Linked DNA regions of Saccharomyces cerevisiae S288C. The protein of the gene in region 1 interacts with the protein of each later gene in a pairwise test. Each region holds a gene or a part of one and is shown in the gene's direction. Other genes may lie near its edges.

Region 1 (4,559 bases):
ACAGCTCACATTCCCGTCGTCGTAATCGTGATCGCGCAACTAGAAGCATGCATGAACAGCGCAGAAGACGTCATAATCCGAACGAAAGGGAGCAACATCACGAAGACAGTGAGGAAGAAGATTCGTGGTCGCAATTTGTAGAAAAGGACCTGCCAGAGCTTACGGACAGAGCCGGTCGGTCATTACAGGACACAGCAAACAAAGTTAGTAACTGGATAAGTGATGCTTACCGGAGAAACTTTGCGTCAGGTAATGAGCAAAACGACAACCAACATGGTCACCAAGATCAGCAAGAATGGGAGCCAGAGATTGTGGATTTGTCACAAGGCGGGAAAAATTCAAGACCCCAGCAACCTGAGAGAAGAAGATTCAATTCGTTTGGCGTTCAAGTCGGTGATGACTCTTTAGAAAGCCACGGAATCACACTACACAACGAAGATGGATTTGAAGATGATGAAGATGTGCCACCTCAGTTACCAACGAGAACAAAATCTGGTGAGTCGACTGGAAAAGTAGTGGCAGAGACAACCTACATTGATACTCCAGATACAGAAACGAAGAAGAAATGGCAGCCGCTACCACCGGAACCCCTGGATACTACACCAACTAAAGTAAACGCTGTTTCTAGAAATAAGAAAAATCCGGATGAGGATGAATTCTTAATCAATAGTGACGACGAGATGTAAAGCTGATATCTACGTACATGTGTATACGTGCCAATATTTGGACGCATCTTATTTTACGCGCTTGTGAAGAACTCACTACCTTCTTGAAGGAAGTAAGAAAAAATTTTCAGAATTGTTGATAGTCGTATATCTTCCATTATAACTATTGTTAGCTATTAATTCAGATAATGTAGATAAGATTGAAAACATAAATTCATCATAAAAAAGAATAGGTCTTTTACGGCACCCGTTCAGACACTTTGACACTTCAAAGTATATGCATCAGCACACTTCTGACCATTCTACGTATTGTAACAGCAACATGAGTTCTTTAAAACTCCAATTGACATTTTCGTAATGTGTTTTGCATATCATCTAAATTTCAATGACAGATTTAAAAAGTCAAGTAATTAAAAATTTTCATAAGCGTGCTTTTTTATAGTGCGAAGAACGGCAAAGGCAACCTTAAGAAAAAAAAATGATAGGTTACGTGCTATATCCGGAAAATAAAGAAAGATGAGTAAGAGTTAAAGAAAGAATTCAACCAACCTGATGGGTGTATGAAAATCCCGATTTTATATCGACAGCGCTAGCATGCATGAACAGTGTTTTGACGGTCAAGAAAAAACATAACCTCTGCATAATGTACTTACTTATCAAAACGTTGCAAATCTTGTATGTAAGAGGTGTTTGGGTGTTTTTTCCAAACGACCCGAAGGAGGGCAATTCAAAATAAAAAAAGCAAATTTTATCAGGAAGAGAAGATTTTAGTCAGAACGGGCCATGTTCAATGGCCAATTTCTTATGCTCTAGAGTAATAATTACTAAGGAGGAAAGTAAGACAAAAAACGGTCTATCGTTGTTTTAAGTTTACAGCATAGGCATAGTGATAGAGTGTGAGAGAGTCTCTAACTCGGCGTCAGTTTAGAGTCATTTTTTTCTTTTCTCCCCCCAAAGGTCATAAGAAGATAAGGATCCAAATTTAGAAGACAAAAAAAGTTTTGTTAGAACGTTTATCCCATTAAAAATAAGGGAAAAGAGAAACAACGTTATTTAGTGATTTTTTTAATTGAGAAGCATTTTCTCCAGTGATAATTTAATTGTTTTTTTATTCGGAAAAGAACAGAAAGCGCAAGAAGACAACTCCTTCACACTTAGGCTATTAATTTTCCCGCCTCCCCATTAATTGATAAAGATAAAGGTTGTCTGAGCTTACACTTATTATAAACAATGGACGATATAATCACGCAAGTTTCTCCAGATAATGCAGAGTCCGCTCCGATTCTACAAGAACAGCAACAGCAACAGAACTCACAGTACGAAGGTAACGAGGAGGATTATGGTGATTCATTGATTCATTTGAATATTCAAGAAAACCATTATTTCATTACGAGGGACCAGTTGATGTCTCTACCTGAATCCCTATTACTGTGTTTATTTCCCTCAGGTGTTTTTTTGGACCGTTGTGGTCAGGTCATTACTAATTTGACCAGAGACGATGAGGTCTACATTGTTAATTTCCCTCCTGATTGTTTTGAGTACATCATGGAGATATATACAAAAGCGCATGATGATTTGTATAATCATCCTGTGGAGAAATTTTTTGACAGACCATCAAGTAGCTTTGTTTCGAATGCAAAGGGATTTTTTGGACTGAGTAGCAATAATTCAATTTCGAGCAACAATGAGCAGGATATTTTACATCAAAAGCCCGCTATTATTGTTTTGAGAGAAGACTTGGATTATTATTGTGTACCTCAGGAGGAATTTCAGTTTGATTCCACTAATGAAGAAAATAATGAGGATTTATTGCGACATTTTATGGCTCAAGTGAAAATGGCTGCTGGCAGTTATTTAACTTCAAAAACATCGATTTTCCAAGGTTTGTATTCTTCGAATAGACTAAAGCAACAACAGCAACAACAGAAAATTGAAAAGGGGTCCAATTCTTCTTCAAATACTAAATCTACTTCGAAAAAATTGGGACCTGCTGAACAACATTTAATGGATATGTTGTGCTCCTCCGGATTCACCAAGGAAACTTGTTGGGGTAACAGAACTCAAGAAACTGGCAAAACGGTTATAAGTTCACTGTCTCTTTGCCGATTGGCTAACGAGACAACTGAAGGATTTAGGCAAAAATTTAACGAGGCTAAGGCTAAGTGGGAGGCAGAGCACAAACCTTCTCAAGACAACTTCATCACCCCAATGCAATCTAACATATCGATTAACTCTTTATCTGCAAGTAAATCTAACAGTACCATTTCTACAGCAAGGAATTTAACAAGCGGAAGTACAGCACCTGCTACAGCACGTGATAAGAGAAAATCAAGGCTGTCGAAACTAGCAGATAACGTTCGTTCGCACTCTTCCTCGAGACATAGTTCGCAGACCAGAAGTAAACCTCCGGAGTTGCCCAAATTGTATGATCTAGTGCCAAAACCTAATATCAACGCTAAGCTACTATTATTTTGGAGAAAACCTGCTCGTAAATGTTGGTGGGGTGAAGAAGACATAGAGCTAGAAGTGGAAGTCTTCGGCTCTTGGAAAGATGAATCAAAGAAAATCATTGAATTGATCTTGCCAACAAACGTTGATCCTGAAGCAGAACTACATAAAATCATTGTACCCGTCCGATTACATATTCGTAGAGTTTGGACTTTAGAGTTGAGCGTTATTGGGGTGCAGTGAGTGTATATAATATATTAGAGAAAGAAATGGAAAGAGATCGGGCCAAAGACACAATATGTAACAGTATGGTTTCTTGGTATCCCCTCTTTCTATTCCTCCCTTGTTACGAAATGATGTATATTTGTATCTCTATAACAAAATTATATGAACTGTCTCAAAGCACATGAAGAAGGAAAAAAGGTGGCGTCGAAGACTGCTAGATATTTCTCTTCGTATCTTCCCATCCCCTTCTGCAAATAACGGTTTTTCCATTGTCTATTTCAAAGTTACCCGCATAATAAAGTCGTACATTGTTCGAAAAATATCACTCAAAAGCAGCATTGATCCGGTATAAAACAATAGAAATTTTTTTTTTTTTTTATTGTTATAATTATTCTGACTCACGTCTGGATTTCGTTAGTTCGTCATTTTTTCTTAATTTCAGTAAACTGTGATCACGAGTCTGCAACATCATTATACACCGTATATCTGTATTATTAAGAATCAGGGTCTCCTTTTAATTTGCTGTTGAAAAACATCTTAAGGGAGTGTGATTGTCTGTTGATGTATACTAGTCTGGTAAAGCTAAATATTCTTATAAAAAACTTTTGGTAACCCATTATTACAGGAAACAAGATCCATTTATCAGATAAAAATTATAAAACATTAAGGAATCAGGACCTTTTTTTCGACAATCATGATAGAGGCGTTGGAAATAGTTCTATTGCTCGTTATACAATCACTTCAATATATCTGTCGCACATGCATAGCTTTTTTGCTAATACCATTCTTAGGCCTGTATGCATTCGATCTCTTCCTATACGTTTATCGGATGATACTTTATCTGTCACAAATGTTCAATTACAAGAGAAAACTAGGACGTTCTAAAACAAATAATAGGCCGCATAGTCCCAGGCTACATAAGATATACAGTAGTGGGGATTGCATGGATACCTTAATTGGCCAAGTAAGGGATTTGAGAGTATTTTTGTTATCCACGATCCACAGCCACTCTAAAAGATTCTTTTCTACGAGATTTCAGACAAAATCAGGCATTAACTCTGCTATTGACGCGAATGATGTTGAAACAACATCTGACGTATCTAGTTTTACAAATTTACATTTAACAAGGTCATCGGAAGAAGGTTATTATATCGCAGGATCGATATAATAAAAGAAAATATGGAAAACCCTTTCATGGGTGTTTGCACGGAATTAGGATCA
Region 2 (4,122 bases), on another chromosome or scaffold:
CAATAGAACAATAACTCTGGTGGAAGCGATTTTGGCTGGTTTATACAACAAACGCTCGATTATGGGAATCATAAACGCAGCAGTCTTACCGGAACCAGTCACAGCACCGGCAATGATGTCTTTACCCAATAAGGCAATGGGGATTGTGGCGCTTTGAATAGGGGAAGGCTTGACGTAACCCAAACTTGCAAGGCCCTTAAGAACCGGACGAGATAAAGACAAACTGTTGAAATTTTCGTACATTTGCTTTTTAGCTTCATCTCCCTCAGTTTCAGGCGCATAGAAATCGGCTTTTGCCTCTTCAGAATCGTCTTCTTCATCTATTTCGTCATCTTTGCCGCCTTTTTCTAACGTCATCTCTTCTTGTTCCTCCTCTTCCTCCTCTTCCTCTTCCTTTTCCTCCTCTTCTTCTTCTTCTTCTGACTGATTTTCGTCTCCATTGTTCATGGGAGCTCCCATACCGAACCCGTCCATTGCTAATTCCTCATCGTCGCTATCGTTTTCTTTTTCTACTTTTTCTTTCTCGGTTTCTTCTTCTTGTTTACTATCAATATGGGCCATTTTCACCAGCCCACCTTTTCTTCTAATAATCTTATCCAAGTCAACGTCCTTCTTCACAAAAGCTTCGGCATCGTCCTTATTGGACTCGCCCTCTGCTAGAAAGTTCCAGCCTTGGAAGTTCGAAGTGGTATCATCGGCGTCCAAATCAAACTTAAACCCCGCGTCCAAGTCCTCATGAACATCCTCATCGAGGTTATCCCCCTCACTAACCTTTTTCTTGTTATTCTTACCCTTCCGCTTCTTCGTAGTCTTCTTAGCCTCGACTTTTTCGTCATCAGAAGAATCTAGAATTGGAACATCGTCTTCACTGTCACTGATTGTAGGGACAAAGTCCAAATTAGAGTATTTTTTAGTTCCTACCACCATAGTATATATATAAGACGCTGTTGTAGGCACACAGCTCCAATTCGAAACCCAAGTTACCAACGTAAATACTCATACTATCTAAGCATATTCTAACTTACAATTTTCAACCTCATCTCATCGCATTTTTTGAAAATTTTTTTTCAAATCATTACCCGGATAATGTTATAACCCTACCTATCTCCTTCAAAAAAAGATAAAATGACGATATATAGCGGCGAATCAGAATCTAGTAACCACCTAACTACTTGTCTCTAGTACAACTAAACAAAATTTTAGTGTACACAATCAGATAACTACACAATCAATTATACCCAATGACTGAAACTGACAAGAAACAAGAACAAGAAAACCACGCGGAGTGCGAGGACAAACCTAAGCCATGTTGCGTTTGTAAGCCAGAAAAGGAGGAGCGGGATACATGCATCTTATTCAATGGACAAGACTCTGAAAAATGCAAGGAATTCATTGAAAAGTACAAAGAGTGCATGAAGGGTTATGGCTTCGAAGTTCCAAGTGCAAATTAGTCTTACTGACAGTCTGCCGACAACCATTTCTTGTATATATAAGAATAGGTATTCACAAACTATAGTATATACTACCTGTAAATATGTGCGATGCACAATTAACATTACCTCATCACTACTACACCACTTCTACTGCTAGCACTGTCCTCTTGTGCTTGGCCCCTTAAGAGTGTTCTAAGACCACGTGACCAGAAAAGGACGTATCACGTGACACAAACCTAATAACTTTTTTAGGAAACCCTAAGTCAGGGCACGCTTGCTTTGTTTCTTTTTTTTCTGGAAAGAACGGAAAAAAAAAAAAGTCTGGGATTAGTTAGTGTATATTAAGTGAAAAAGTATAGAAATAGGTGTCGAGAAGAAGTGCTCGTTGAACCATACTGCTCACAATACTCTTTCATTGAACTCTTTATTACGTTGTCGTCAAGTACAACTCCTTCCTTTATCGCCTGCCTAGCCTATAGTCTGCTCTCTTCGTGTCATTCCTTATAGCATAATCAATCGCACTTCCCCTTTCATTGTGCGTTTATCCAAGCTTTTTATTTGCCTACATTCGTGTTCGTAAGCTTTAACAACAATAAGTAGCAAAACAGTATGGGTTTCATATCGTCAATACTGTGCTGCTCTTCCGAGACGACACAATCCAATTCCAATTCTGCTTATCGCCAACAACAGAGCAGTTCTCTCAATAAAAACAGAAGCGTTAAACATTCCAACACGAAAAGCCGAACCCGTGGCGTACATCAGACAAACTCTCCTCCTTCTAAGACAAATTCAGCCGCTACTTTCAGTTCCACTGAACGATCCACCGGTAAATCTGGGATAAGCACGAACGATAATGAAAAAAAGAAGCCATCGTCGCCGACTGCAGCCGTCACCGCCACTACTACTAATAATATGACAAAAGTAGAGAAGCGAATTAGTAAAGATGATCTTTACGAGGAAAAATACGAGGTTGACGAAGATGAAGAGATCGACGATGAAGATAACCGTCGCAGTCGTGGCATTGTACAGGAAAAAGGAGATGCTGTGAAAGATACTTCCAGGCAGAAAAAACAACAGCAGCAACAACAACAACAGTCACAACCACAACCACAACCCCAGTCACAGTCACAGTCACAGTCGCAGTCGCAGTCGCAGCAGCGAGGGCCTACTGTACAAGTATCGTCTGACCATCTTATCCAAGATATGAATTTGAGTAGGGTAAGTAGCAGCTCTCAAGCCAGTGAAACTTCCAACGATGCCGACGACGAAGACGATGAAGATGAAGAATATATTGATCTAACGCTTTTGCAGCAGGGCCAGTATCATGCACCAGGTTACAACACTCTGCTCCCCCCACAAGATGAAAGTACAAAGGGCAAGAAATGCCTAATACTGGACCTGGATGAAACCTTGGTACACTCTTCTTTCAAATACTTACGATCTGCGGATTTTGTTTTGTCTGTGGAAATAGATGACCAAGTACACAATGTCTATGTCATTAAAAGACCTGGTGTGGAAGAATTTTTGGAAAGAGTCGGAAAATTATTCGAGGTTGTAGTCTTCACGGCTAGTGTCTCTCGATACGGTGATCCTTTGCTTGATATATTAGACACAGATAAAGTCATTCATCACAGATTATTCAGAGAGGCTTGCTATAACTATGAAGGAAACTATATAAAAAACTTATCCCAGATTGGAAGGCCGTTATCAGATATCATCATTCTCGATAACTCTCCGGCATCTTATATTTTTCATCCCCAACATGCAATACCGATTTCGTCCTGGTTCTCAGATACTCATGATAACGAATTATTAGATATTATTCCTCTTTTAGAAGACCTTTCTGTGAAAACCTCACTGGATGTGGGCAAAATTTTGGATGTAACAATATAATGAGCACTTTCGCCCGAATTTCTTGTGGCCCCCGCTACCAAAGAATGAAGATGAAGAAGATGAAGAAAAGAACCAGAGAACAAAAAGTTTTTTCTTTTTTTTTCTTTTTTTTTTTGGCTCAACACACTGTACCCATGCTGTCCCTTGACATTTTTTTTTTCAACTTCTTCTACCATTACGACACAATGTATTCATATATAAATTCATAATCTAATAAAATGGTAATTTTAATTTAACGGGACTGGCGTGAACATTTATCAAATACATGTGAATTAAAAATTAAAAAAATGCAAATATTGTACATATGTGTATATACAGACAACATAAAACAGAATAACTACTTTTCTTGAGTATCACGTTTGTCATCTTCCTTTCTTCTTTTCCTATCTCTTCCTGAATCTTCATATTTGTGCACGGTACCAACGATTTGTTTCTTCCTTTCGGAAATGTATGGCATATCCTTTCTAGTACGCCTTTCATTAGCTTCTCTTCTCTTAATAGAACTCAACTCAATGTTCTTAATTTCCTGAGCCTTTTTGATGACTTGTGGCACGTGTCTATGTCTACTGATTCTTTTGATCTCCGGCATATGTCTAAATCTTTCTTTTAATTTTTCGTCATATTCTAATTTATTCTTTTCACGAGTAGTTTTGACATTAGACCTCTCCCAAGCTTTACTTCTCCATAGCCTAACATTCCCATCATCAGATCCACTGATAATATATTTAGAATCCATGGAATATTTAACCTGGAAAACATGCTGCATTCTCTTCGTATGATAAATTTCTCTCGAATG

The links.
Region 2: the proteins of WHI2 (region 1) and PSR1 interact in binary tests that used the Saccharomyces cerevisiae proteins (3 or more experiments, as listed by UniProt).

Annotation. Positions count from the first base shown.
Region 1 is NC_001147.6:408,975-413,533, forward strand, and holds WHI2 (Whi2p), read left to right. Parts: upstream 1-1,895; coding exon 1,896-3,356; downstream 3,357-4,559. Other genes in the region: ubiquitin-binding protein CUE5, read left to right, coding at 1-686; IRC23 (Irc23p), read left to right, coding at 4,033-4,506. UniProt on the Saccharomyces cerevisiae protein: Plays a role in the coordination of growth and proliferation. Required for entry into G0 phase under conditions of carbon limitation.
Region 2 is NC_001144.5:128,534-132,655, reverse strand, and holds PSR1 (phosphatase), read left to right. Parts: upstream 1-2,042; coding exon 2,043-3,326; downstream 3,327-4,122. Other genes in the region: DRS1 (putative ATP-dependent RNA helicase), read right to left, coding at 1-927; copper metallochaperone COX17, read left to right, coding at 1,242-1,451; rRNA-processing protein SOF1, read right to left, coding at 3,664-4,122. UniProt on the Saccharomyces cerevisiae protein: Has phosphatase activity in vitro. Involved in the response to sodium and lithium ion stress (but not to potassium or sorbitol stress) by inducing transcription of the sodium pump ENA1/PMR2.